3 linked regions of the Diceros bicornis minor genome follow. The protein of the gene in region 1 binds, or shares a complex with, the protein of each later gene. Links are inferred from orthologs where the notes say so. Each region holds a gene or a part of one and is shown on either strand. Other genes may lie near its edges. The genes, in order: tubulin alpha-1B chain, MATCAP1 and CAMSAP1.

Region 1 (10,226 bases):
CCCACTGCTCCACTGAAGGCACTCTTGCCCAAGACACCAGGGACCTCCATATTGCCAAATCTAATAGCCAGTTCTCAGACCTCACCTTAGCTAGCCTCCCAGAAGAATCTGACAAAGTTATCTTTGTCAGATAAAGTTATCTCCTGCTTGAAACACTTTCTTCATTTGGTTTCCAGAACACCACACTCTTCATGATTTTCTTCCTACACCACTGGCTGGTCCTTCTCACTTTCAAGAAGGATCCTCTTCCTAATGTTTAAAAGCTGAAATGCTCCAGGGTTCAGTCCTTGGACCTCTTTTAATCTACACTTTCTTCCTAGGTGATCTCATCTAGTTTCTATGGATTTAAATTTATCCTCACAATTCATCTTCTCTGTACTTTAGCTTACTGCCTAATCATCATCTCTACTTAGATGTCTCACACTGCATCTCAAATTTAACACGTCCAAAACTGAATTTTTGTGTGTGTGTGTGAGGAAGATCAGCCCTGAGCTAACAACCACGCCAATCCTCCTCTTTTTGCTGAGGAAGATCAGCCCTGAGCTAACATCTGTGCCTATCTTCCTCCACTTTATGCGGGACGCTGCCACAGCATGGCCAGACAAGCGGTGCGTCGGTGCACGCCCGGGATCCGAACCCGGGCCGCCAGCAGTGGAGCGCCCGCACTTAACCACTATGCCATGGAGCCGGCCCCCAAAACTGAATTTTTGATTCCCTCCATTTCCCTATATCTGTTCCTCCTTCAGTATCCCCCAGTGTTGCTCAAGCGAAAAACCTTGGGGTCACAATTGACTCTTCTCTTTCTTTCTCACCCTACATCCAATGCTACCTTCAAAATATATCCAGAAACCCACCACTTTTTACCACCTCCACCACTGGTTCACCATGTTCCAAGCAACTATCACCTCCTCTCTGCATTACTGCAATTCCCTTCCAACTCATATTCCTTATTCCACTCTTAACCTCCTATGGTTTATTCTCACAGCAGCCAGAACAATCCTTTTAAAATCTAAAATAGAATATGTCACATCTTTGCTCAAAACTATGTAACGGCTTCCCATGACTTTTAGAATAAAACACAGTCTTTCCACGGCTAATAAGAAAGACCCTTTCATGATCTAGACACTGGCTACTTCTCTGATCTCATTTCATAACACTCTCCCCCTCACTTACTCTGCTCTGGTCCCACTGACTTTATTGATATTGCTTAAAAAAGACATACATCCTCGACCTCTGAGCCTTTGTACTTGATGTTCCCTCTGCTTGAAATGCCCACTCTATCACTTCATTCAGGTCTTTTTTTTTTTTTTTTTCCCCCCAAAGCCCCAGTAGATAGTTGTATGTCATAGCTGCACATCCTTCTAGCTGCTGTACGTGGGATGCAGCCTCAGCATGGCCAGAGAAGCGGTGCGTCGGTGCACACCTGGGATCCGAACTCAGGCTGCCAGCAGCAGAATGTGCGCACTTAACCGCTAAGCCACGGGGCCGGCCCTCATTCAGGTCTTTGTTCAAATAACTACCTCCTCAGAGAGGCCTTCCCAGATCAATCTATCTAAAATAGCACCCCTCTGTAACTTTAATCTGTTTTCCAGACTTTATTTTTCCTCATAATACTTTTCAGTACCTGACATTATTTTTCATATCTCTTTGCTACATGTTCATCTTCTTTCTCCTTCACTAGAATACAAACTCCATGAGGGCAAGGACGTATTTTGTTCACTGTTATATCTAATCAACACTTAAAAGGAGTACCTGCCATGGTAGAGTCTCAATAAATATTTGTCCAATAAGTAAATAAAAATAGAAGCCATATTGTTATCTATATACAATGGACACTTTCCAGTCTTAACACTACTTAACCTCTCTGCAGCATTTGACATTGTACCACTTCTGCTTCTTGAAACTCTGTCTTTCCTTGGATTGTGAGACCCTCAGTTCTCCCTCCCTGATCATTCCTTCTCAGACTCCTTTTATAGGCTCCTTTTCTCTACTTTAAATATGATCAGGGCCACCCCGTGGCTTAGCGGTTAAGTGCGCACGCTCCACTACTGGCAGCCCGGGTTCAGATCCCGGGCGCGCACCGACGCACCACTTGTCCGGCCATGCTGAGGCGGCATCCCACATACAGCAACTATAAGGATGTGCAACTATGACATACAACTATCTACTGGGGCTTTGGGGAGAAAAAGGGGAAAAAATGGAGGGGGATTGGCAATAGATGTTAGCTCAGGGCCAGTCTTCCTCAGCAAAAAGAGGAGGATCGGCATGGATGTTAGCTCAGGGCTGATCTTCCTCACCAAAAAAAAGAAAAGAAAAAAAAAAATGGGCCGGCCCTGTGGCTTAGCGGTCAAGTGCGCACGCTCTGCTGCTGGCAGCCCAGGTTCGGATCCTGGGCGCGCACCAACGCACTGCTTCTCCGGCCATGTTGAGGCCACGTCCCACATACAGCAACTAGAAGGATGTGCAGCTATGACATACAACTATCTATTGGGCCTTTGGGGGGAAAAAATTTAAATATGATCATTCTTCAGATTCCCTACTAAGGCCAGTGATGGGCATATTTTGAAGATAAAGCTGATAGAGTTTACAAATGGGATTGAATGTAGCAGTATGAGAAAAAGAGGATTCCAAGCTAATATTGATTCCCATTCATAAATGAAGCTGGAGAAAGACAATTAAGGCTCTAAAGTCATACAACTATTAACTGACAAAGTTATAACTGAATCCAATACTATCTGAAATCAAAGCCCATTTTCTTTCCCTTATACCATCTCTCTTTGGAAAAACAGAACACAAAATGACATACATAAATTTATACTACTATAATAAATAAGAATAAAAGGCCAAATGTTTGAAAATAGTTGATGCTTGGTAAATTGTTGCTATTTGTTATTTTTGTCTTTCCGTGTTGAGACGGTCAAATGAACAAAATATTTTGTGAACTTTTGTGTCTAAACCACAATATGGAACTATCAAAAATGTTACTGATTGCTTAGAACAGTAGCAAATGGCCATGATATTAAGTAGCAAAGATGAGAGTGGCTCGAATAGCAACACAGGGTTTTCCACTACATCAAAGACTCAAAGCAAATAGTTAGAGGCCCTGAAACAGTCCAACAAAAGAAAGACCTATATAATCAATTAAAATGTGAAGACAGTGGTTTATATTCTAGCAATAGATAATTATTATTTGTTAAATACAGACAAAGTGTATACATCCATATATAATGTAAACAAATAGACTCATGTAAGTTTAGCATGGGTAAAAAAGAAAAAAAATGTAAGCCTTTCCTCTTAGGCACTAGGGAGGTAGCAAAATAAATTAATTTAGCATCATTCAATATTTTTCTGGCATAAAGATATCAGACTAGATTATATTTAAAGGTCCCTTTTGGCTCTATTACTCTCTGAAACCTAAGGTATCATCACGGACCTAAAAAAAAACAAACCCTCAAGTACTTCCTCATTCACAACAGGGGAATTCAGAGATAACAAGGCTAGCAACGCTAATGGTTTTAGGAAGGTATCTGGGGAGACATATAGACCCACAGGAGCAAATCTCTGCAGTGAAAGCTCTATGGTTCTGCAGAGAGCTAGGAAGAGGGAGGTGCCTGCTTTCAAATGGCTTTCATCCAGAGCAGACATCAAAATGGAGTTCAGCTGGGTGGCTCCCTAACGTTCATTCTTCCAGTCAAGGCAAGCTAATTATTTTCCATCTCGTTTTAAGAATAAGTGAGACAACATTCAAATATATTCCTTTCTCCTATAACCGAGTTTGGGAAATGTGTGCAAATTTGGTTTTTGAGTCAAAAACCTTTTAACAGGACTACAAAAAATATTTATTAGAAATAAAGAACCTCCTTGTTTGCATTCCAGGTTCATACGAGTGGAGCTTATATATATATTCTCACAAACTACACATACACATTAACAGTCTAAATTTGTTATTTGTCTGATATGATGGGTGACATCTTTACCAAATCTGAATAAGGTAACACTGATACACTATCACTGGGAGGATATTTTGAATAGTGCAGTAACAGCAACAGGTTTCTGCTAGGACCATTTTAAAGCCACATTTTAACCCTAACTAACCACCTAATGCATTTCTAAGGGTTAACAATGTAGTTTATGGTCTTGGACCAGATTCTCCCGAAAGGAAAAAAAAAAAAGTCTATTCACTATAATCTGGGCCTCTTAGCACTAAGCTGTAACTGATCTATCATGACATAGCAGAAAGCAGTTATTATTATATAAAGAGTTTTACAAAACTCTAAATTACACAAGGAACTCCTACTTCCTAATAGCCTTCAGTGTCAAACAATTTCCTCCCTACCCAAGTTTCTATCATCTCTTCTTCAATTCAGCTACCAAATTTGAAATGTGTCTTTAAATCTCCCTTTTTAAAAGCCCCTAGAGCTATTCCACAAAGTCGGTGGTTTAGGTCTAAAAATGGGGCCTACTCTGCCTTTCTTTTCTTTCCATTTTTTAAAAATATGATAAAAATACACATAACATAAAATTTAGCATCTTAACCATTTTTAAGTGTACAGTTGAGTGGTATTAAATATATTAATAATGTTGTGCAACTATCACCACAATCCATCCCCATAACTCTTTTCATCTTGTAAAACTGAAACTATATACCTATTAAAAACTAACTTCCCATTCTCCCCTCCCCCAGCCCCTTGCAACCACAATTTTACTTTGTCTCTATGATTTTGACTACTCTAAGTACTTTATATAAGTGGAATCATACAGTATTTGTCTAGGAACAGCAGTTTTTATACATTGTGCATCAAGCAGTACAAGACATTGATGCCTGAGAGAAGGGGAACAAATGAGGCGAGCCCTATGATTACGCCAGCTTTCTGTCTGAAGAGGTTTTACACTGCAATGCAGAGAGGGGAACCCAGGCGAAGCCTGGGGGTGGAAAATGTAAACAACAGAAACAAATAGCAAGATGGTAGAGGCAAACTCAACCACATCATTAATCACATTAAATGTAAATGGTTTGATCACCCCAATTAAAAGGCAGAGATTGTCAGATTGGATTTTAAAAAGCAAGGCCAAACTATGCTGTTTACAAATACTCTGCCCTTTTAACAGATTCGATGTTCAATGCTCAGGTACTACTCTTTGACTGAAATATTATTTGCTGCCAACAAATAGCAAGTCATTACAGTAAACCAAATAAAACTATTCCATTTTCTAAACCTCACGTCCTCCACATTGTCAGGTAAGTACAGAATGCACTGCCTTTAAAGGAACTGAGAAAAGAAAAAGGCACAACTCACTGACAAATTGTGGCAACATGAAAATTATCAGCTGAGCTATCCGGACCAGAAGTTTCTGCATTTCATGGTGCTTCATCTTTAAAACTGTATGGATTTCTTAAGTCTTAGGGTTCGTCCAAATTAAGGCAAGCCTCCTTACCCATTCCCCTGCCGGCTTGTTTCCGGCCCTGCGCCCGCCCCCCGCCCAGGCCCTGGCAGCCATGCGCCGCAGACTGCAGCACCCGAGCTCGCGGCCCGCAGGCGCGGGCAGGGGACCCCGGGCGGAGAGCCCGCCTCTGCGGCGACCGAGCCGGGCGCCGAGTGGACGCGCCGGGCCGGGGGAGGGGCCCGCGGCCGTGGCGCCGCCTGTGCCCGCCGCCCCCCCCCGGACCGCTACTTAAGTGGCTCCGGCGCCGCCCCAGCCTCAGTGCGTTACTTACCTCGACTCTTAGCTTGTCGGGGACGGTAACCGGGACCCGGTGTCTATTCCTGTCGCCTGCTAACCCGTAGCCACCATGGTGAGTGGGCCGCACGCGGCGCCGCCCTTGCTCGGGAAAATGGGGAAGAGCGAGCCGGGGAGAGGCGTCGCGGAGGGCCTCTAGTTGGAGAGGGCCGGGACCAGCGCTGGCCATCTGGAGGGCAAGAAGCGAGGCGAGAGGAGAGGGCGGGAGTAGATAGACCCCGGTTCGTGGAGAACGGCTGAGGCTCGGAAAGAGGGCGGCCACCGCGTTTTCTTCTCGGACTCTGGGAGGGGATGGCGGGGTGCGGGCTGCCCTCCGCCGTGGTTAAGGCTCTCATTTAGCCCTTAATTGATGAGCGCGGCGCCCCCAGACTCGACAGTCTTTTCCCGCGCATTCCCATCCCCCCATCCTTCCCCCGCCTTTGGCGGGCGCGCGCGGGCTCTCCCCGCCCTCACTTCCTCCTCAGCTAGAAAGCGGAGGCGGGAAGGGGCAGGACACAAAAGCGCAGGCGCGACCGTTACCTTCCCGCCAGAGAGCGGCGGGAGACCGCCACTGCAGTCTGCGCGTGCGCGCTGGGGCGCTGCGGGTCTATGGCTAGAGGGCGCGGCTCCTGTTACCGAGTTTTCTTTTTTTTTAAATGGAAGCACTAAGATGAATGTGGAGAAGGGCTCCTTGTCAGTGTACTGCACTACGCCAGTGTATTAGGACAATTAGTTCCCAACAGCCTGTAGAGGCCATCTGTCCCTCCTTGGCCTCTTTGTTGCGTTAGGAATGTGTGTGGGAGCAGGTGGTGGCGGTGAGGATTTTGAGGGAATGGAAATCGGATCTTGGTCCAGATCTGGGCCGCTGATAATCCCCTGCTGCGCCCTGACAGATGTGGAGGTGTTGGGCTGAGCCCAACGCCTGCGGGGAATGGAGGATGGTTGGCCATGGCAGCGCCTCTGCAGACGTGGCTGCTGCGTGCCTCTGCAGCTGCGCGGCCCCGCCGGCCAGGGTGGGGGCGCGGGCGCGTGCCCCTGAATTGCTCATTCATCCAGTGCCGCAGAGCCCCGCCCCTGGTCCCTGCGGCCAGACATTTCCTCTGCTCTGGACACGTGCTTCCTGTGCTGGTAGCTGCCCGGAAATCTGGCCACCTAGTCTAAAATGGGATTCTGGGGCCTGAGCACTGGATGGATGGCTTCCACCCTATCTTGATCCTCCAAAGGAGGAAGCTGTGACTAAGCTCTCTTCTTGCCCTAGAAAGAGGCCTTGGCAATTTAGAAGTGGAAAAAATTCAGTAAAAGCAGTGTAGATCAGAAAGATAGCAGTTCTCCCCTAGGAAAAGAGTATTATATTTTAATTCATTTTAAAAGAGGAAATTTGTAAGATTAAGATTCCATAAGTATTTTGTTCTGCTTCATAGTCACTGCTAGATAAGTTTAACCCTGAATTTTGTTTTTTTCCTTCCTTTTCCACAGCGTGAGTGCATCTCCATCCACGTTGGCCAGGCTGGTGTCCAGATCGGCAATGCCTGCTGGGAGCTCTACTGCCTGGAACACGGCATCCAGCCCGATGGCCAGATGCCAAGTGACAAGACCATTGGGGGAGGAGATGACTCCTTCAACACCTTCTTCAGTGAGACGGGTGCTGGCAAGCATGTGCCCAGGGCAGTGTTTGTAGACCTGGAACCCACAGTCATTGGTGAGTTGACCACACTAACCTGAGTGAGATCCCAGGGGTCTGGGACAGGAGGTCTGTCCTGGGGGCTCCGCTGATGCCCTGGGGTTGAGCAGGCTTGTGCAGGTGGTTAGTGATGGGTGGCTGCTTTGTCTTCCTTTTCCAGATGAGGTTCGCACTGGCACCTACCGCCAGCTCTTCCACCCTGAGCAGCTCATCACAGGCAAGGAAGATGCTGCCAATAACTATGCCCGTGGGCACTACACCATTGGCAAGGAGATCATTGACCTCGTCTTGGACCGAATTCGGAAACTGGTATGTTTATGCTCAAGAATAAAGTAAATAATGAGCCTAAGGAAGACATTTGAAGTAGGCTCCTTGGGCCGGCCCCGTGGCTTAGTGGTTAAGTGCGTGCTCCGCTACTGGCCGCCCAGGTTCGGATCCTGGGCGCACACTGACGCACCGCTTCTGCCCCCATGCTGAGGCCGCATCTCACATCCGGCAACTAGAAGGATGTGCAACTACGACATACAACTATCCACTGGGGCTTTGGGGGGAAAAATAAAGGAGGAGGATTGGCAATAGATGTTAACTCAGAGCCGGTCTTCCTCAGCAAAAAGAGGAGGATTAGCATGGATGTTAGCTCAGGGCTGATCTTCCTCACAAAAACAACAACAACAAAAAATGACATAGGCTCCTTTCAACACAGAATTGAAATGTAATAATGAATGAGGAATTATTCTTTTATAGTTTTTAAAAAAACTCAATTAAAACATGAACTATTTGGTGTCATTTTGTAAATATTAATACAGATATTTTTTAATTAAGAAATGCTGAGTGATTCCAGGAACATCTACATTTTTTTCCAAGTGTTTCTTGTCAAAATAAGAGCTATATCCTTGGAATTGTATGAAAAGTGAAAATAGATTTACTATGATTATATCACAAAAAGCAATAACTATGTTTTCTCTTTCCTCTTTTCTAACAGGCTGACCAGTGCACAGGTCTTCAGGGCTTCCTGGTTTTCCACAGCTTTGGTGGGGGAACTGGTTCTGGGTTCACCTCCCTGCTGATGGAGCGTCTCTCTGTCGATTATGGCAAGAAGTCCAAGCTGGAGTTCTCCATTTACCCAGCCCCCCAGGTTTCCACAGCTGTAGTTGAGCCCTACAACTCCATCCTCACCACCCACACCACCCTGGAGCACTCCGATTGTGCCTTCATGGTAGACAATGAGGCCATCTATGACATCTGTCGTAGGAACCTCGATATTGAGCGCCCAACCTACACTAACCTTAACCGCCTTATTAGCCAGATTGTGTCTTCCATCACTGCTTCCCTCAGATTTGATGGAGCCCTGAATGTTGATCTGACAGAATTCCAGACCAACCTGGTGCCCTATCCCCGCATCCACTTCCCTCTGGCCACATATGCCCCTGTCATCTCTGCTGAGAAAGCCTACCATGAACAGCTTTCTGTAGCAGAGATCACCAATGCTTGCTTTGAGCCAGCGAACCAGATGGTGAAATGTGACCCTCGTCATGGTAAATACATGGCTTGTTGCCTGTTGTACCGTGGTGATGTGGTTCCCAAAGATGTCAATGCTGCCATTGCCACCATTAAGACCAAGCGCAGCATCCAGTTTGTGGATTGGTGCCCCACTGGCTTCAAAGTTGGCATTAATTACCAGCCTCCCACTGTGGTACCTGGTGGAGATCTGGCCAAAGTACAGCGGGCTGTGTGCATGTTGAGCAATACCACAGCCATTGCTGAGGCCTGGGCTCGCCTGGACCACAAGTTTGATCTGATGTATGCCAAGCGTGCCTTTGTTCACTGGTACGTGGGTGAGGGCATGGAGGAAGGAGAGTTTTCTGAGGCCCGTGAGGACATGGCTGCCCTTGAGAAGGATTATGAGGAGGTTGGTGTAGATTCTGTTGAAGGAGAAGGTGAGGAAGAAGGAGAGGAATACTAATTAGCACTCCCTTCAGCACTGCAGCATGTCATACTCAATTTCAGCTTCAACGTTAGCTGACAGGCGTTAAAGCTATCTGGTTAAATTGTCTTCGCTTTTAACTGTGATCATGTTTTGCTTTTCCATGTGTACGTGTAAGATTTTTCCATTATGTCTCAAAGTAAAGGCTTTAAGAAAGAAAGTTTGACTTCTGTGCTTTTTCTAAATTGATTTCTCCAATGCAAGATGTATTACTAATTATTTCTAGAGGATAAAGTCTGCAGGATAAAGTCTGCAACAGGGCAGTGGGTGATAGCAAGGACCTCACTTTCTATCTAGCTACCTGTATGGGGAAGAAGGAGCACACTGGTCTGAAAAAGTATGCACTGGATTCTGACACTGTTCTGTTAAAATCACCTCAACCAGTGTTAGAATCCAGGTCAGAGAGGGCTTGGAAAAATGATGTACTGAAAAAATCATCCTGCTAATCTAGCTCTTGAGATTATTAAGTCATTACTAATGAGTTAGGTATAAGAAGTAAGTAGTTTTGAATATCCTGCAAATAATGTGACTGCTGTTTAAAGGGACCTACTAATTTATCAATTAACTTAAAAAATCTCAAAATGACCCTTGAACAGGAAAACAGCTGGTTAAAGGAATATTTCAGCATGGTGAGGTAAAAATTGTGTTTCCAGTCCTATAATGGGATGAGAAAAAATTGCAGGATCTGAATTGCTGGTGATCAAAATTATACTAAGAAAAACAGGAAGAATAAGCCACATGCATTTATGGAATGGTGCTGCTTAATTTACAAGGGGGTGAAGTGGCAGCATTTGTAAAGGATAAGAGTTTACAATTAATAGCACTTGGCATAGTTTACATTCT
Region 2 (9,484 bases), on another chromosome or scaffold:
TAGCATGGTCCCCCAGTTCCTCCCTGTCTTCCCTCCAGGATCCCTGACTTCCTCACGTTCCATCAGCTCAAGGGTTTACACCAGGCCCACCAGGCTGCTAGGACCTTCCCTGGCTCCTTTCAGATTGGCCAATGCTCTACTGTACCAGTTATTAAATATTTTATTTATTTATTTATTTATTTTTTGTGAGGAAGATCAGCCCTGAGCTAACATCCATGCCAATCCTCCTCTTTTTGCTGAGGAAGACCGGCCCTGAGCTAACATCCGTGCTTGTCTTCCTCCACTTTATATGGGACATCGCCACAGCATGGCCTGACAAGTGGTGCATCGGTGCGCGCCCGGGATCCGAACCTGGGCCGCCAGCAGCGGAGTGCGTGCACTTAACCGCTACACCACGGGGCCGGCCCCGGTTATTAAATATTTTAGACATCACCGCAGCCCCAGGGCCTCAGCATCTGCTGCTGTACCCATTACACAGGTGAGAAGGCTGAGACCCAGTGCTGTCTTCTTTCCTCCATCCTTAGTGCCGGCTGCAGTGGCCCACACACAGACCCTGATCAGTGCCCAGCGGCTCTTGGAGGCATATGTGAGCCTTCGGGAGCTGGAGCAGCTGCGAGAGGAGACCTGGGCACCTCTCGGGGGCCTGGAACTGCCAGTCTTCGAGGGGCTGGGCCATCTAGCTGAGGCATTGGGCCAGGCTGTGGAGGCAGCTGCAGGGGCTGCGGGGCAGCTGGCACGGGAGGACCCAGCCCTGCTAGTGGCTGCTGTGCGCGTGGCAGAGGTGGATGCTGGGCATACAACCTCCCTGGAACAGGCTCCTCGGGACTGGCGGCAGCGCTGTCTGCAGGCACTACAGGAAGGCCTGGAGCGGATCCACTTTGGAACACTGTTGCCTGGGCCTGGGGCCCTAGAAGGGTGGCTGGAAGCTCTGCGGGTGGCTCTACCAGCCGAGTTGGCCACAGCTGAGGCACTAGTAGCACCCTGCTGCCCACCACACTACAAGGTGGTCCAGCTCTGGGCCCACACCCTGCACAGCGGCCTGCGCCACTGCCTGCAGCAACTCCTGGAAGGGCCTGAGCTGGGAGCTGCTGATGCCTTCACCTTGCTGCATTGGGCACTGCATGTGTACCTGGGGTCAGTGCCCTTGGGGCAATGGGAAGTGGGTGGGTCAGAGGCTGGGGGTTCAGCATGACACTGGGCTATCCATCTCTAGGCCAGAAATGATGGGGAGCTTGGAGTGCCTGGAGTTGGGGCCTGAGGCTGACGTGTCTCAGCTGGAACCCCTCCTGACCGCAGAGAACATAGAACATCTAGAGGCAACATTTGTGGCCAAAGTCCAGGTGAGTAGTTGGGGCCAGGTCCAAAGAAGCTTTGCCACCAGCTGTGGGCCTGTATCTGTTGAGTCACATGTCTACCTGTCTCTAGCAGTATCAGTGTCCTGCTACATCCTGCTGCCCCTTGCTCCTTCCCCTAGGCAAGTGTGGCCCAGTGGCTGCAGAAAGCACTGGATGGGGAGGTAGCCGAGTGGAGCCGAGAGCAAGAGCCTGACACAGACACGTCTGGCTTCTACCACTCACCAATGCCGGCCATTGTGCTGCAGGTGGGTGGGAAGTGGTGAGGCAGGTGGGCAGCCCCCTTAAGGAAGGGGAGGAGGGCAGGGTTAAGACTCTGCTGATGGCTGCCCATCCCTGCCTGTAGATCCTGGAAGAGAACATTCGTGTAACGAGCCTGGTCAGTGAGTCGCTGCAGCAGCGGGTGCATGGCATGGCACTGTCAGAACTGGGCACATTTCTGAGGAGGTCTGCCATGGCACTGACCTACTCCTAACCCCTGGCCCTACTCCTGGGGCAGCTCAAAGGGGCTGCGAGTGAATAAGGCACACCAGTGGGAAATGGATCCTCCAAAACAGGGCCTTGGGTATCTTGGAGGTGGGGCTGGAGTAGCAGAGACTGGGGTTGTGGGAGCACCACAGTGACAGCAGGTACAGGAGCCACCTCTGCCCTTTGCAGCTTCAGTGATGCTCTGATCCGATTCTCGCGAGACCACCTCAGGGGGGAAGCAATGGCCCCTCACTATGTACCCTACCTACTGGCCACCCTCAACCACCAATCAGCACTCAGGTACCAGGAGGCCCCCACTGAACCCCACCTTCACTAACCCCTAACTGAACACCTATTAGGTATGGACTCAGCCCACATTAGGCCATTAGGAATTTTGGACTCATGTAGCCCTGGGGGTCCAATCCTAGTTCTACTAATTACTATCTGGGTGACCTTGAGCGAGTTACCTAATCTCTCTGAATCTTGCTTTTCTCATAAGTATTGTACGGGTAATAAGGGGATGTTCTGAGAATCACATGATATAACAAGTGTGAAGTACTTACCACAGTGCCTGGCACATAGTCATTATTCATTCATTCAACAATACTTACCAATGCCCTACTCTGTGCCAGGTAATGTCTGGGGTTACAGCTGTGAACAAAGAAAAAAAATTCCTGGGCTGGCCCCGTGGCTTAGCGGTTAAGTGCGAGTGCTCGGCTACTGGCAGCCCGGGTTCGGATCCCGGGTGCGCAACGACGCACCGCTTCTCCAGCCACGCTGAGGCCACGTCCCACATACAGCAACTAGAAGGATGTGCAACTATGATATACAACTATCTACTGGGGCTTTGGGGAAAAAAAAAGGAGGAGGATTGGCGATAGATGTTAGCTCAGAGCTGGTCTTCCTCAGCAAAAAGAGGAGGATTAGCGTGGATGTTAGCTCAGGGCTGATCTTCACAAAACAACAACAACAAAAATTCCCTTCCTTTTGGGTCTTATGTTCTTTGGAATGGGGGCAGAGAGGACAAACAAGTTAATGATGATTTTTACTCCCTCTTGCCAGTGATTAACTCTCTCCCCTTATAGAAACAGAAACCAAAAGATATGATTTGCTCAAGGTCACACTGCGAATTAGAGGCAGGTCCGGCTAGGCTGTGTCCCTTCTAGCTCGCTGAGCCCACCACTCCCAGCCTCAGTCGACGACCCAGGCCTTCAGAAGTGCCGGGAGCCGCCTTTCTTGCCCCCTCCCGCCACACACTTGCGCCACTAGGTGGCGCTGGAGTGGCTAGACAACCGAGGGCCGTGTGGGCCTTGGCCTTGGTCCTGAAGCTGTACTTTTGGTCGGTCCAGCTCCTCCGTGTCCGTCCTGCAGCCCAACGGGGAGGCTTCAGGGGCCCTGGCTCCGGTGGAGGCAGCGCTGGACGAGTTGCAGAGGAGGATCTGCCGCCTGGTGTTGGAGGCGCTGCTAGTGGAGCTCCAGGTGAGGCTTCAGGTGGGGATGGGGGTGGCAGGAGGAGATATAGCGTATGTATGGGGGTCTCTGCGGGGAATGCCGGGTCTGGATCGTCCCTCTAGCCCCGTCTTTGTCCCCCCTCCTCTAGCCCCTGTTCGAGGCTCTGCCCTCGCGTCGGTGGCTGTCGAGCTCGGAGCTGCTGGACGATGTGTGTGAGCGGACGGCGCGCTTCTGCCGGGACTTCTGGCGCGTGCGGAATCCCGCGGTCCAGGTGAGTTTGGGGGGAAAGGCTGGGGAGCGGGAAAGCGCCCATGAAAAAGCCATCCTGGACGCATTTGATCGCTCTCCCCGCAGCTGCTGCTGGCCGAGGTGGAGCGTACTGTGGTGCTGCAGTACCTACGCGCGCTGATGCAGGGCCGCCTAGTGTGCCGCGGCGCCGAGGAGCGGACCCAGGCGGCCGAGCGCCTAAGGCACGATGCCGCCCAGCTTCAAGAGCTTTTCCTCGGTTTGGTGAGAGCTCGTTGGGCGAGCAGATAGGCGGGAATCTCAGTGGTTGGGTGGGGGCCGAGGGCCGGCGAGAGACCTATCCCCACGTGCTCAGGGCCTGGAGGAGAGCGTTCAGTGCGCGCCGGTGCTGCTCGCCCTGCGGGAGCTGCTGAATCTCCGCGACCCCATGCTGCTTGGCCTCGAGGTGGCAGGCCTGCGGCAACAATTTCCCGATGTGAGGTGCGAAGACTGGGTGGGGGAGAGGGATGGGGCAGAAAGGGAGGAGGGACTTGGGGGGGCGGGGCGGGGCTGACTCACCTCCGTGGTGCCCCCTAGCGAAGATCACGTCTCTGCCCTCTTGGACCTGCGCGGAGACGTGTCCCGAGAGCAGCGCCTGGCCGCACTCAGCTCCCTGCAGGCTGGCCCACAGCCCTCGCCCCCAGTGGGTCGTCGAGCACTCTTCAGCCTCGTGCCAGCCCCTACGCCCGCGCCGTCCTCCTGCCTCCCCTCGAGGCCCTGTGCGTGACACCTGGCTTTCCGCAGAATAAAGCCTCAGCTCCCCTACGCCTGAATTATGTGTGTTGGGGAAGGGGGCATGAAATAAAAGTGCCCGTGAAGGTTAGGGGGTCTACGCACAGTGACATGCCTCAGGTATCCTGGCTACAATCCTGATATACGGCGTGCGCCCCACCTATTCCGGCATCACCTTTGTGTGTGGACTGCGTTCCCAAGTACCCGGGCTTCTGCCCCAGTACGCACACTACGCTCCCACGTATCCGCGCCGGGGCAGTGAGCTCCGGTCTCCTCGGCCCTGACTCGGATGACCGAGTAGCACCCGAAGCCCTGAAACACGCCTGACCCTCGTGAAGGGGGCGGACTTAAGACAACGCCCCGCCCAGGGGCGTGACCTGTTGGCGGACACCGCCCCCTCTGCTCTGCCTGGCCCCACCCCAGCTATGTTCTGGGGCGATCGCCGCCGCGGAGATTGACGCGAATCCGCGAGCCTTCGTGTGAGCGTGCGCGCGCCCGAGTACTTGCGTCACCAGCGTCGGCTCCCCCGGGCTGGGCGGCTGGCTACTGGTGTTGCGGAGCGGGAACCGCGGTGGCAAGAAGGGGAGCGAACAGGTAGCGGCGCGGCACGCGGACGGAATCCCCACCCCCACCCCCGAGAGGCCGAGAAGGCGCGCGACGCGACCCCTCCTCATCTGCTAGGAAACCCCCTTCTATTGTCCTCTGGCCCCTCCCTCCATTGGGCACGCCCTTTGCCCCATTGCCCACCACTAATCGGCTGCAGGTCACGCCCCTCCTCGAGCTCCCCGTCCCCATTGGCTCCTCTTCCACGTTATCCTCTCCCGGAGTTTCTCATTGGCGCAGGCCACACCCTCTCATCTTTCACTAGACTCCGCCTTCAGTCTGGGCTCCTCCCCCAACCATCTTGCATTCATTCTGCGTCTAGTGCTGGGTGCTTGGGACATGAGGGTGAATCAGACCTGTCTTTGCTCGCAGGGAGTTCAGGGCATGGTAGGGGGACACGGACCTAGGCTCTGATAGTGACAGCCTAGGGCGGTAAAGAAGCCACCTAGGCACTAGGAGCCTCTAAGACATCGGGAAGCCTTCCTGGAGGAGGTGAGGCCTAAACCGAGCACTAATGGTTAAGAGTTTGCTCCAGGGAGACAGTGGGAGGACATTCTTGGCAGAAGGACCTGAGACGTGAAAGAAACAGGCATACTCTAGTAATTGCAAAGAGGTAGGTCGAAAGAAAGAAGGGGAGATGCTGGTCCAGGTAGAGGCTTGGAGACCAGAGAGGGTCCAGAAAAGTTTGCTGTTAGTTGAGGGGAGTGAAGCCTGCAGCTCATCACTAGGCAGAGTGGAGGGAGATGGGGGAGAGGGGATTGGATCTACATGGGGAAACAGGGCAGGGGAGGAATGATTCCAGTTCTGAGACAGAGGAGGGCTCCTGGGTTCATTCATTTTATTAAGCAACTGTTCTGGGCCAGGTAGTGTTCTGAGTTCTGGGGACACAGCTTTGAACACTAAAAAGTGGAAAACAGATAACTAACCATTAAATATACTGTACTTCAGATGGTGATAACTGCCAGAGAGAGCAATAATGTGGGGCAGGGGAGGTTTACTAGTTTATAGAGAGTGTGTTAGGGAGGATTCTCTAATAACATATTTGTGCAGAAATCTGAGGAAAGTGAGAGAGCGACCCCTGCAGTTTTATGGGGGGGAAACATTCCTGACAGGGGACATGTTCAGTTTGAGATGCTTGCTGTACATTCAGGTAAAGATGTTGAATTGAGAACTGGCAACACTGGTCTGAAGTTTATGGAAGAAGTCTGGGCTGAAGATTTTTTTTTTTTAATTTTTATTTATTTATTTATTTTTTCCCTCCAAAGCCCCAGTAGATAGTTGTATGTCACAGCTGCACATCCTTCTAGTTGCTGCATGTGGGACGCGACCTCAGCATGGCCGGAGAAGTGGTGCGTCGGTGCGTGCCCGGGATCCGAACCCGGGCCGCCAGCAGCAGAGCGCGCGCACTTAACCGCCAAGCCACGGGGCCGCCCCAGGGCTGAAGATTTTAAAACCATGAGAGTGGATGAGATCAGCTAGGCAGTGAGCATAAATGGAGAAGTTTCCATAGAAGTTTTCATGTCTTAGGGCATCACAGTGTCAGGAGGTCGGAAAGCAGGAAGACCAAGAACGAACACCGAGTGTGGTAGGAGGGGAACTATGTTTGAGTGTATTTGAGAAGCCAGGTGGAGAGTGTGTTTCTAGGATGAAGTGATTAACTGTGTCAGGTGCTATTGATCAATATGAAGATCATTGGTGACTTTGGTCAGATCAGTTTCGATGGAGAGTGGGGGACAAAAGCCTAATTGGAGGGGAATTTGAGAGAGAACAGGAAAGAAGGCATTGGAGATTGTTGATGACTCGAGGTGTGCTGCAACAAGGAGCAGCTGGAGGGAGAGGCAGTGGATCTGAAGGAGCGTGGAGTCAAGTGAGGGTTTTGTTTTGCTTTTTTGAGATGGAGAAATAACAACATGTGCTTATGCTGATGGATAGAATCCAGTAGAGAGGAAGAGACTGATGATGTGGGAGACATAAGAGAGAGGGGAAATGCTGGAATTGTGTCCCTGAGGAGGCAAGGGAGTTTGGAGGCTGGAGTCTTCTGTCAGTCTCTGGGGAGAGGCTGGATTGGACTCAGCCCAGGTACAGAGTCAAGGGTGAGTGTCCTGACACCGCCCTTAGATGACCACTAGAAAGATGCCTCTGATAGGGGACAGACCAGGGATTGGCTTGGATTTGCTGAAGTTTCCCTGCTCCCCAAAACCAGATTTTAATTTGGATTTGAATAGATGGCCCAGAGGAGAGAGAGCATTCCAGGTGGAGGAACTAGCATAAGCAAGGGGCAGTCAGGCTTTCAAAATGACTGAGGCCAAATGGGCTGGAAGAGGTGGGTGGAGCCAGGTGGGAGGGGAGGAGTGAGACTGTGAAAATGCCATAGGTAGAAGGCAGGTAGAAGGTAGTGAGGCCCCCTCACCCATCATCCTGGCAGCTGAGGCTACACTATACCAGCTCCCAGTCTGGGTGGGCACAGGGATTAGAATCACGAGTAGGGGCTCAGGCCTTGCTCTCAGGAGCTCACAGGCTAAGGGGATTCCAGTAACCACCATCTCGGTGGATGTATAAGACTCATCCTCCTGCTTTACTCCAGTCCAGCTTGCTTGGGTGAACCTGCTGGAGGGAATGGACACTGGGGTAGAGGTGAGGGGGCAGCCACCGAGACCCCTGGAGGCGGGCCATGGGCCCAGCAAGGGCCCAGCAAGGGCAGTGTGGCACACGAGGCCTCTTGGTCCTCAGGCCACACCCACTCATGTTGGCCTCCCCATGTCCTTCTGTGTCCCCAGAAGCCGACAGTGTGGGGAGTTGGAGTGACCGGCTGGATGTGACCCCCAGGACAGAATGGTGCTGGACTCAGGGGCTCAGGTGTATCAGCAGGCACCCCCCAGCCCACCAGCCAGTCCCTCATCCTTGGACCATATTCTGAAGCCCTCAGACCGAGATGGGACGCCGCTGTACCCCTGGCCTCCATCCCTGGCCTTGCCCCTGGCTCTGTCAGTCCCCTCAGGCCTGCGGCCCCGGCCTGAGCTGCAGCCCTTCTCAGAGCTGCACTTGGGCCACCGTGGCCACATGCGTCGCAGTGAGAGCACCTACACCGTAAATAGTACTGGCCGGCGGGGGGCGGGCACCCAGGGTCGGGCCCCACCTAGACGGGGACAGGGCCCAGGTGGGGGCACCCTGCGGTCTGCGGCCTCCCTGCCTCACATTGCTAAGACTCGAAAAGATGCAGGCCGTGGTGCCAGCAGGAGCCCCTGCATGTTGGTGGCCCTGCGGCCAACCAACATGGACCGTGAGCGGGACAAGTTCTTCCAGTCCCATTACACCTACAACCCACAGTTCGAGTACCAGGAGCCCATGCCCACGGCTGTGCTGGAGAAGTACTGTGAGGCCTCTGGACAGTTCATCCATCAGGTCAGTCCAGCCTGCCCACCTCACCTTGGCTCTGTCCACCCAAGAGGCCTGGCCTGACCAGCCACTGTGGCCCTGTGTACAGGCAGTTGGCATCATTGAGGCTGTCCTGGAGAAGTTCGGTACCTATGAACACTTTGAGGCTGCAACCGGGGGCCAGCTGCTGACCAAGTGCCAGATATGGTCCATTGTGCGCAAGTACATGCAGAAGGAGGGCTGCGTCGGGGAGGTGAGCTTGCCCTGCCTGTGAGGCCCCTCTTCATGCCCCATACCAGGCTGCTGAGTGGGTGGTGCCAGGCCCAGCTCCACACCTGGCCAGCTAGTGACCCCAGGCAACCCCCTGTCCTTGTCCCAGTGAGATGGGAACTGGCTCTAGCAGGGTGGTGAAGGGTGGGTGTCCTGGCCAAGTGTCCCGCCTGGCTGCCCTATGGTATCAGTGGGTCTGCCTGGACACTGGCCCCAGGGCTGGTGATCATGGCTCAGGGCACTGCCATCTGCAGGTTGTGGTGCAGCTGAGTGAGGACCTGCTGTCCCAGGCAGTGATGATGGTGGAGAACAGCCGACCGACATTGGCCATCAACCTGACTGGAGCCCGCCAGTACTGGCTGGAGGGCATGCTGCGGCATGAGATAGGTCAGAGCGTGGGTAGGCGGGTGGGCCGGTAGGGATGAGAGGAGGTTGGGATGCGGGGCGGGCAGTGAGGGTCCCAGTAACCCTACGTCCTCTCTTTCTCCCCCTTCCCTCCGGAGGACGGGCCCTTTCCCTTCGTCAGCAGCTACCTCCTCCCTCTGGCTCACAGAGGTAGGCCAGTACATGCCTCCACTCTCTGGGCTTACCCTCATCTCTTGCTCCTTTGGGGTATCTTTTCCTCCCTCTACTTCCTCTCTGATTTCCCTTGACAGTGGGGACAAGGCTGCTGAGGCCCGGACAGGCCAGAGGGAGAACCCTAAGGGTCTCACTAGGCCAGCCAACATGCAGGCCCTCCAGGGTGGCTGGAAGGCCAGATCCTAGGAATGGAATTGACTGAGGACACACAGAGCCGGGTTTAGGAGGGGATAGGCCAGACTGGAAAAGAGAGCATGGGACACTAATTACTATTCCTTTCTGTCTGTCCCTCCTCATCAAGAATCCTGTTGCTCTGGGTAAAGGGGAGTTTTTGCTGGGGACATCAGCATGACAGTAGTCAAAATGAC
Region 3 (9,795 bases), on another chromosome or scaffold:
AATCAGTAGTTTAATTACTCTAAGGAGAGAGGGAGAGGATGAGAGTGCTAATCCCTCACTAGCGGTGGGCTCTGGACAGCCTCGTGGTCTCTCTCCATCCCAGTTTGCTGCTACTAAAAAGAGAAGATTAACCTCGGTGGCCCCTACGGTCCCACCCAGTCCAGGGAAGCACAGCTCCATGGTGAGTTGTGGTGAGTCTCAACGTGGTTTCCAGGGCGCCTCAGAGGGTGAAACCACCACCACTGAGCTACATAGCAACATGCTTGCAAAGAGCTGAGTGCCTTCTAGTACTTTCCCTGGGTTGTTTTTTCAACACTGTCCTTGGGAGTTAACAAAAGCTATTACTCCCCCACTGTCTCCTGAAACCAAGGCCTAAATACCTTTAAGTTTCCTAAGCTCGTGGACTAAAATCAAAAGCCAGGAATGCAGCAGCCCCAGCCCAGCTCTATTCTGTAAAATAAATGGTACTTCAAGTCATTCCTTTAAAGTTTTTTACCAATTTATTACAATTGTCAATCAAAAGGACATCACAAAACATTCCAGCTAAGCAGACTCAACTGCTTCCCACACTTTTAAATTAATAACTTTCAACATGTCCAATATATTACTTCTAAAAAAACAATTAAAACACTATAAATGAAACAAGAGTTACCCCAAAAAGGGAGGGGCAGAATCTAAAAATAAAAACACAAGAGGGCCCACAGTTCTTGGCTGTGGCACCAGAGATGAAGAAAGTCGGAGGAAACGTTTCTGCATAACCATGTGCCACCACAAGGCCTGGCCAAGGGTGAGCTCTCCCCAGGCTCCTCACTCACTACAAACGGCAGCGGCCGGTGGCCCCGGGGACACGGAGAGTCCCAAAAGGCAAACGCAAACGAGAAGGCAGCCTCAGAGCACCTCGCCTGAGAGTGTCTGCATGCTTTCAATTCCTATACAAACAGAAAAGACTGTTCGGTTTCATTTAGCTACTTAATGAACAACTACAGAACAAGAAAAACATTTAGGCCACTTTCACCATCACACCCCTCAAAAACAATTTACAATTAAAGCGTGCAGACTGAAAGAATCATGTCTAATTAACTGAAAACTAAGCTGGAGAGGCACATGGAGATGTCCAAAAGGAGAAACAAAGAATAGGCCCCTGGATTAGGAAAAGAGTTTTGGGGTAAAAAATCTATATTATCCTACCCAAATCCCTCCCCACCCAGTCTCCTGCAAGACCAGACCCCCTGAGGGTAGCAGCGAAACTCCGCCAGGGCTGTGGACCCCACACACACACACACACACACACACACACACACACTGACGACACAGATGAAATCACTTCAGCTGAGTGGAGGTGAGTTTTTTTGGTCATCTGAATTGGGATCTCCTAAATATGTCAACTTAAAAAGAGATTCTCATCTAGAGCAAAACTACATCTGTGCCCTTCCCGAAACACAGCATAGAATGGAACAGCCTTCTCATTCAGCAACAATGAATGGAAAGCAGGCCTCCTAAAATCCGTGTGTGATGAGCACACTTCAGCCGAGGGATCGTGACCGACGGGCAACATGCAAGCCAGCCGCAGATCCTCAGACAGCATCCAGTCTCCTTCAGCTCCTGCTCACCTTCTGTTCTGTAAATACCTACCTTTAATCATTGAACACCCTAAAGCCTATTTTAATATCAGCTTTTGAATTAATTATCTGATGAGTCAACAAGTATCAAAGTGATCTGGTACTGGAAATAAAACTACACTAACCCAATACTAACCCTGAGAGGGATGCATATTTGTTTCCAGATAGCGGACAAATCCCACGCTGAATGCCAAAGCTAAATGTAACACAATAAAAATGCATTCACTTTGCTAAAGAAACTGGAAAGCAAATAACGAGACGGCTTTTTAGAAGTATTTGTGTCTATATAGCATTCATTACTAGAACCTTAGCTATTTCCATACATAAAATCTTAAAAATACACAGCAGTGTGAAACCTTGCACATGTGCCCCAGGAGCCGTGCCCAAGAACGCACTGTGCTTAAGAACACAGACCTGGAACCTGACCAGTGCCCACCAACAGTGAACAGGCCTCCAGCGAAACACCACACAGCAGTGAAAAAGCAAGGAGAGGAGTGGGAAGGAAGAAACTAGGAAGAATGTGGAATAAAGCAGTCTCAGCAGAGGACATAACTACCAAGGGCGCAAAAATAGGGAAAACTAAATACAGTTCAGTGATGTAAACACATGCGGTGAAATATAAAGAAAAGCAAACCAATCGCCAACGCAAGACATGAGGTTGGGACCCCGGCACACCCAGGGGACCCCACACGAGGTCAGGTCGCGTGCTTTTCCTTAAACTGACTGCCACATAACCCAGTGGCCGCTGCGGTGTTACTCTTTACACCTCACTCTAAAATTTTACATACACTTGTTAGCAATTCCATATTTCCCCCAAAATCATGTAAATTCGTGTACGCGACAATGTTTCCCCATCATACTATAGAGAAACTGAATCAAGTTCGCTGTAAAACTGGAAACTGCAAAATAAAGGAGAAAACTCGGGGTGCACACCATGAAATCAGCCTGCAATAGGGGACGCATCTAATCCCCGAGACCTGCAGAGCCAGTTTAGCCTCATGACTAACTGAGTCTGGCCATGACACAGGCCGCTCGGACCGGTGAGAGCCCGTCACAGGGGCACGCCTGCTCCGCGAGTTTTCAGACCCGGTCACCAGCCTCCCTCCTGAAAGGGTTCTCTCTCCACTTCAGTCTCACTCTGGAATCAGAAACGTCTTCCCCACAACGAAGGCAATTTTTAAAAACTGCTTCAAATGAAAAGAAAAAAGACTACGCAGTATTAACTCTTAATTTCGTACCTAAAACAAAACAGCTCAAGTTAATAAAGCAGGCCTCGGGAGCCAAGCGATTATGAGAATCACTTGGTCTGTGAAACGCCAAGAGCTGGAAACCGGCGAGTCTTAATCCACTAAGAATATCAGGCCTAATAAACTGGCTCCTAACAAGGCTACCTAGTTCTGCAGGACAGGCTCACCGAAGGTGGGCCCCGATCAAGACGGTGCAGCTGAGAAGCAACGACTCGTGGGGAACTCCACCGGCGAGCTCGGTGACAGTCGAGCCGGCCGGGCACCCAGGGTGTCACCGCGGACTCGCGCCCCGCCCGGCTCCGGGGGAGGTTCCCCGGGCCGGCCCCGCTGCACCTGCCGGAGGACTCCGGCGCCGACCCCCCACCCCGCTCGGTCGCACGCGGCCAGTCCACTCCGGACCTAACCCCACCACGCCCCGCACTGCCCGGGACCCTGCGCGGCGGGCGGCGCACAAAGGAGCCCCAGCCCGTGCGTCTCCGGCCTCAACTCGGCCCCCGACCCCGTCCGTCCCCCTCCCCCGGGCCGTGTCCTCCCCCGCCCCCGCCCACCGATGCCGTAGGCCTTGGCGCAGAGCCACTGCAGGTTGGCGGCGATCTTGGCGCGGGCCGGGTCGTAGCGGTCCAGCGGCACGATGTCCACGGCGCCGTCGGGCGCGGCCTCCATCCTCCGCCAGCCCTCGCCGGCCGCGCCGCCGCCCGCGTCCACCATCTGCACACAGAAAGGCCGCTGCAGCGCGGGCGGCGCCGGCGAGGCCGCAACAAAGGCGCCGCCCCCGCCGCGCCGGAGGGACCCGCGAGGGGCCGGCACCGACCGCGGCCGGCGCCCCCGCCCGCCCGGCCTCACCTCACAGCCGCCGCCGGCGCCGCCGCCGTGCGTGCTGCTGCCGCATGCTGCGGGGCCGGGCCCGGAGGCCGGGGCCCGGGAGGCCGGGGGCGGGGGGCGGCGAAGCGGGGACGCAGGCTGGTCCGCGGGCCGTGGCGGGGGGCGCGCGCGCGGAGCCGGGGGCGGCGGCGGCTGAGGAGGCGGCCAACCGGCGGGAGCGCGCGCACCGCTGAGGCCCTGCGCAGGCGCACTGGGCGCAGCCCGCCGCCCCTTGCCGGCCCGCGCTCGCTCCGCCCCTTTCCGCAGGCGCAGTGGGCGCAGCCTGTGGCCCCGCCCCCGGCCCGCGCTCGCCCCGCCCCTTCCCGCAGGCGCAGTGGGCGCTACCAGAGGACCCGCCCCTTCCCGCGGGCGCCGGGCGCGGGGTCGCGCGGGCTGACAGGCCCTGGCGGGGCCTGCTGCAGCCCTTTGTCTGGGCCGGGTCTCTTCCTGCTGGGACTGGGTCGTCCAGACCAGGGGACCCCAGCCGCCGCGCGACGGGGCCGAGCCCCTCGCGGAGGCCCTTGCGTGGGCCGACTGCGACCTCAAGAAGGCGACGGCCCCGGAGGGAGGGGGCGCTCGGAGCCTGGGGGACCCCCCCCCCCAAGCAGCCCTGGATTCCCCTTCCCGGAGAGCAGCGCTGGGAGGCCGGGGACCCCCCGCCCCCAGAGCAGCCCCGGGGATACTTCCCCTCCCCACTGCCCCCAGCAGCGCCGGGAGCCCGGGACTCCCACACACACACACACAAAGGCCCTTGGTGCCTAGAGACCCCCTCAAAGTAGCACTGGGGGTGCCTCCCACCATAGTGGGGCTCGGAGCCCGGGGACCCCACCCCGAGAGCAGCCTCAGGAATACCTCCCCTCCCAGCCAGCAGCGCTGGCAGCGGGGCGCACCCCTTTCCCTGCAGGAGCACCTGTGCCGGTGCGCCCCCAGCAGGCACTAGCTGTGGTCTCCAGGGCACGGTCCCGGGAAGTGGGCTCTGGACACCTGAGATAAACTGCGCATCCTCAGCCCCCAGCGCAGCCGTGGGTATCGGCCTCAGGCACGTCCCCCAGAAGGGGCTGGCTTCGTCCTGATAAAGCCTGTGTTGGACTAATAATTATAGTAACACCGTGAAACCTCAGCGTGTGAAAGCTCGTGTGTCCCGGTGCTCGGCTGAGGACCTCAAAGCTGAGCTGACAGAGGGCTGCTGGCTTCTGTGCCACGCACTGGGGTCCAGAAATCCAAGGCCTTGAGGAAAGCGGGAAGAAACAGTTTCCTATGAATAAGGTGTCCTGGGAGTGACGGCCAGGATGGCTCCCAACCTCACTTCACCGGCCGTGCTAAGCCGGAAAGAAAACCCAGGTTGTCAGGTGATGTAAGCTCAAGGACCCAGCCGGTCGTTCAACAAACACTTATTCATGTGCAGGCATGAGCCTCACTCTGGCTCACAGCAGAGAGCAAAACACAAATCCCCACCTGCCTTCGGGGAGCTGAGGTCTAGTGAGGAGGGAACATGACTGCATGTGTGGTAGGTGAGGCAGTGAGCAGCGCTGGGGCCGCCATCAAGGAAAACTAAGGGGGCCTTTGAGCAAAGACCTGCAGGGAGCCAGGGGCAAGCAGGAGCTTGTCTGGGGAAGTGTGTTCTGGGCAGGGGTGTAGGAGTGCCGGGTACGTAAGAGACAGGGAGGCCACTGCATCCAGAACCAGGCATGGAGAGACACTGGCAGGAAAGGGGCGCGGGGGTGGCAAATCTTGTAAGAACTGTGGCCTCCTCTCTGAGTGAGATGGGAAGCCATAGAGGGCCTTTGAGCACAGGCAGGAAGGATGTGACTGACCCTTTACAGGGAACATTCTGGTTCCTGGGAGCAGAATAGAAGGTAGGAAGGGCAAGGAAGGAAGCAGGGAGACCAACCTCTGACAGGTGGGATGTGGAGTGCTCGAGAAAGCAACAGGTCAAGGGCGACTCCAAGGGGTTTTTATCTTAATCTTGTGTCCTGCAACCTTGCTGAACCCATTTATTAGTTCTTACAGTTTTTTAGTGGATTTTCTACATATAAGATCATGACATCTGTGAAGAGAGACAGTTGTACCTCTTCCTCCTCAATCTGGATGCCTTTTATTTCTCCAGTACAATGTTATTTGACATTGTATTCAGAAGTAGTAGAGCAGATGTCCTTGTCTTGTTTCTGCTCTTAGGAGAAAAGCATTCAGACTTTCACCACTAACATATGATGTTAAATGTGGATTTTTCGTATTTATCAGGCTGAGGGAGTTCCGTTCTATTCCTGTGTCGTCGAGTGTTTTTATCAAGAAAGGGTGTTGGGTTTTGTCAAACTTTTTTTGTGTGACTTTTTTTGTAACTATTGAGATAATCACTTGGGGTATTTTTACTCATTCTATTAATGTGGTGTATTACATTGATTGATTTTTGGATATTGAACCAGCCTTGCATTCCTGGGATAAATCCCACTTGATCATAGAGTATAAAGTGTTTTTCAAGTTTGGCAAATCATTTTTTTTTTGTGAGCTTTATTGAGATATAACTGACATATAATATCGTGTAAGTTTAAGGTATACAATGTGATGATTTGGTACGTGTATAGGTATATACTGTGAAACGATTATCACAATAAGGTTAGTTAACACATCCATCACCTCACCTACTTACCTTTTCGTGTGCACGTGTGTTGCAAACATTTAAGATCTACTGTCATAGAGACTTTCAAGTATGCAATACAGTATTGTTGACTATAGTCAGCATGCTGTACATTATTACATCCTCAGAACATATTCATTTTATACCTGTAAATTTGTACCTTTTAACCAAAATCTCCCCATTCCTCCCACCCAACCCCTGCCAACCACCAATCTACTCTTTGTTTCTATGAGTTTGGTTTTTTAGATTCCACGTATAAGTGAGATCACACAGTATTTGTCTTTCTCTGATTTATTTAACTTAGCATAATGCCCTATTCATCCATGTTGTCACAAATGGCAAGATTTCCTTCTTTTTTATGGCTATACTAATATTTCATTGTATATATAGACCACATTTCCTTTATCCATTCATCCATCGAGGGACACTTAGGTTGCTTCCATGTCTTGGCTGTTGTGACTAATGTTGCAGTGAACATGGGGGTGCAGATATCTCTTTGAGATAGTGATTTCATGTCCTTTGGATATATACACAGAAGTGGGAGTGCTGGATCATATGGTAGTTGTAGTTTTAATTTTTTGAAGAACCTCCATACTGTTTTCCAAAGTGGCTGTACCAATTTCCATTCCTATCAACAGCGCATGAGGGTTCTCTTTTCTCCACATCTTTGCCAATACTTGTTATCTCCTGTCTTTTTGATGATAGCCATTCAAACAGCTAGAGGTGGTATTTCATTGTGGTTTTGATTTGCATTTCCTTGATGATTAGTGCTGTTGAGCACCTTTTCACGTGCCTGTTGGCCATCTGTATGTCTTCTTTGGAAAAATGTCTGTTCAGATCGTTTGCCCATTTTTTTAAATTGGACTTTTGTTTTTGATATTGACTTGTATGAGTTCTTTATATATTTTGGATATTAACCCCTTATCAGGTATATGATTTGCAAATATTTTCTCTCGTTCTGTAAGTTGCCTTTTCACTTTGTTGATTGTTTCTTTGACTGTGCAGAAGCTTTTTAGCTTGATGTAGTCCCAATTGTTGTTTTTGCTTTTGTTGCTTGTGCTTTTGGTGTCATATCCAAAAAATCACTGCCAAGACCAATGTCAAAAAGGTTTCCCCTATGTTTTCTTCTCGGAATTTTATGGTTTTGCACATTTAAGCCTTTAATCTATTTTGAGTTAATTTTTGTGAGTGGTGTAAGATGGGGGTCCATTCTTTTGCATATGAGTATTCAGTTTTCCCAACACCGTTTATTGAAGAGACTGTCCTTTCTGCATTGAGTATTAGTTGACCATATATACGTGGGTTTACTTCTGGGCTCTTGATTCTCTTGCATTTGTCTTTGTGTCTGTTTTTATGCCAGTGCCATACTGTTTTGATTTCTATAGCTTTGTAATATAGTTTGTTTTTATATTTTATATTTACATTTATTTTATTATTTATATTATTATATTTTATATTTATATTTATTATAATATTATTACTTTATATTGTATTTTATATTTACATGTTTTTATATAGTTTGTTTTTATATAGTTTGATTTCTATAGTTTTGTAATATAGTTTGTGCTATAGTGTTTGTAATATAGGAAGTTTGATGACTCTGGCTTTGTTCTTCTGTCTCGAGATTGCTTTGGCTATTTGGGGTCTTTTGTGGTTCCATATGAATTTTAGGATTATTTTTTCTCTGTGAAAAATGCCATTGGGATTTTGCTGGGGATTGCATTGAATCTATAGATGGCTTTGAGTAGGATGGACATTTTAACAATATTAATTCTTCTGATACATGAACACAGGATATCTTTCCATTTGTGTCTTCAATTTCTTTCATCAGTGTCTATATTTTTCAGTGTACAGATCTTTAACTGCCTTAGTTAAATTTATTCCTAAGTATTTTATTATTTTTGATGCTACTGTAAATGGGGTTGTTTTCCTTATTTCTTTTTTTAGATAGTTGGTTGTTAGTGTATTGAAATACAACTGCTTTTTGTATGTTGATTTTGTATCTTGCAAGTTTACTAAATTTTTTTTTTCTTTTCTTTTTTTTTTTTGTGAGGAGGACCAGCCCTGAGCTAACCTCCGATGCCAATCCTCTTCTTTTTTTTGCTGAGGAAGACTGGCCCTGGTCTAACAGACGTGCCCATCTTCCTCTACTTTATATGGGATGCTGCCACAGCATGGCTTAACAAGCAGTGTGTCGGTGCGCGCCTGGGACCTGAACCGGCGAACCCTGTGCCGCCGCAGCGGAGCACGCGCACTTAACCGCTTGTGCCACCAGTCCGGCCCCCTGCAACTTTACTAAATTTGTTAGTTCTAACAGTTTTTTGGTGGCATCTTTAGGATTTTCTATACATCAGGTCATGTCATCTGCAGAGACAATTTTACTTTTTCCTTTCCTATTTGTATGTCTTTTACTTCATTTTCTTGCCTGATTGTTCTGGCTAGAACTTCCAGGACTATATTGAACAGGAGTGGTGAGAGTGGGCGCCTTTGTCTTGTTTCTGATCTTAGCTTCTGATGTTAGCTGTGTTTATCATATATGGCCTTTATTATGTTGAGGTACATTCCTTCTCTATCCAATTTGTTGAGAGTTTTTGTCATGAAAGGATGTTGAATTTTGTCAAATGCTTTTTCTGCATCTATTGAGATGATTATATGCTTTTTATTATTAATGTGGTTATCACATTTATTGATTTACATATGTTGAACCATCCTTGCATCTCAGAGATGAATCCCACTTGATGATGATGATGTGTGATCCTTTAATGTGCTGTTGAATTCAGTTTGTCTTTTGTTGAGGTTTTTTTTTTTCCTTTTTTTTTTGAGAAAAATTGGCCCTGCACTAACATCTGCTGCCCATCTTCCTCTTTTTTAAATTTTTTCTCCTCAAAGCCCCAGTACGTACAGTTGTGTATCATAGTTGCAGAGTTGTAGCTCTTCTATATGGGATGCTGCCTCAGCATGGCTTGATGAGCGGTGAGTAGGTCCACGCCCAGGATCCGAACCAGTGAACCCCAGGCCACTGAAGTGGAATGCATGAACTTAATCACTATGCCACCAGGCCAGCCCCAAGAATTTTTGCATCTATTTTCCTCAGGGATATTGGTCTGTGGTTTTCTTGGAGTGTCTTTATCTGGCTTTGGTATCAGGGTAATGCTGGCCTCATAAAATTAGTTTGGGAGTGTTCTCCCCTCTTCAATTTTTTGGAAGAATTTGAGAAGGACTGGCATAAATTCTTTAAATGTTTGGTAGAATTCACCAGTGAAGCCATCTGGTCCTGGGCTTTTCTTTATTGGGAGATTTTTGATGACTCACTCAATCTACTTGGTCATTACTGGTCTATTCAGATTTTCTGTTTCTTCGTGATTCAGTCTTGGTATGTGGTATATTTTTAGGAATTTATCCATTTCTTCTAGGTTTTCCAATTTCTTGACAT

The links.
Region 2: the proteins of tubulin alpha-1B chain (region 1) and MATCAP1 are in contact, whole or in part, in a cryo-EM structure (PDB 7Z6S), measured with the Homo sapiens proteins. The link is inferred for Diceros bicornis minor from reciprocal best matches to the Homo sapiens genes TUBA1B and MATCAP1. Residues at the interface, in NP_006073.2 of Homo sapiens: Asp345, Trp346, Arg422, Glu423, Ala426, Ala427, Glu429, Lys430, Asp431, Glu433, Glu434, Val435, Gly436, Val437, Asp438, Ser439, Val440, Glu441; in NP_001035805.1 of Homo sapiens: Lys219, Cys220, Trp223, Val226, Arg227, Gly237, Glu238, Val239, Val240, Val241, Gln242, Leu243, Met253, Met254, Val255, Glu256, Asn257, Ser258, Arg259, Pro260, Thr261.
Region 3: the proteins of tubulin alpha-1B chain (region 1) and CAMSAP1 are in contact, whole or in part, in a cryo-EM structure (PDB 6QUS), measured with the Homo sapiens proteins. The link is inferred for Diceros bicornis minor from reciprocal best matches to the Homo sapiens genes TUBA1B and CAMSAP1. Residues at the interface, in NP_006073.2 of Homo sapiens: Lys112, Glu113, Asp116, Val409, Gly410, Glu411, Gly412, Glu415; in NP_056262.3 of Homo sapiens: Ser1471, Ser1472, Lys1473, Lys1557, Ile1568, Pro1569, Ala1570, Ser1574, Val1575, Ser1576.

What each region holds. Positions count from the first base shown.
Region 1 is NC_080756.1:20,529,213-20,539,438, forward strand, and holds tubulin alpha-1B chain, read left to right. Parts: upstream 1-5,687; 5' UTR 5,688-5,791; coding exon 5,792-5,794; intron 5,795-7,194; coding exon 7,195-7,417; intron 7,418-7,559; coding exon 7,560-7,708; intron 7,709-8,381; coding exon 8,382-9,362; 3' UTR 9,363-9,543; downstream 9,544-10,226. UniProt on the Homo sapiens protein: Tubulin is the major constituent of microtubules, protein filaments consisting of alpha- and beta-tubulin heterodimers. Microtubules grow by the addition of GTP-tubulin dimers to the microtubule end, where a stabilizing cap forms.
Region 2 is NC_080771.1:19,066,903-19,076,386, reverse strand, and holds the start of MATCAP1 (microtubule-associated tyrosine carboxypeptidase 1), read left to right. Parts: upstream 1-4,794; 5' UTR 4,795-4,883; intron 4,884-4,940; exon of another isoform or gene 4,941-5,384; intron 5,385-5,392; exon of another isoform or gene 5,393-5,505; intron 5,506-6,277; exon of another isoform or gene 6,278-6,759; intron 6,760-7,669; 5' UTR 7,670-7,724; coding exon 7,725-8,294; intron 8,295-8,376; coding exon 8,377-8,520; intron 8,521-8,791; coding exon 8,792-8,924; intron 8,925-9,484. Other genes in the region: EXOC3L1 (exocyst complex component 3-like protein), read left to right, coding at 525-1,134, 1,214-1,340, 1,475-1,600, 1,699-1,799, 2,010-2,120, 3,170-3,299, 3,421-3,543, 3,627-3,782 and 2 more. UniProt on the Homo sapiens protein: Tyrosine carboxypeptidase that removes the C-terminal tyrosine residue of alpha-tubulin, thereby regulating microtubule dynamics and function. Also able to remove the C-terminal phenylalanine residue of alpha-tubulin TUBA8.
Region 3 is NC_080767.1:42,863,602-42,873,396, reverse strand, and holds the start of CAMSAP1 (calmodulin-regulated spectrin-associated protein 1), read right to left. Parts: upstream 3,826-9,795; 5' UTR 3,575-3,825; coding exon 3,415-3,574; intron 1-3,414. UniProt on the Homo sapiens protein: Key microtubule-organizing protein that specifically binds the minus-end of non-centrosomal microtubules and regulates their dynamics and organization. Specifically recognizes growing microtubule minus-ends and stabilizes microtubules.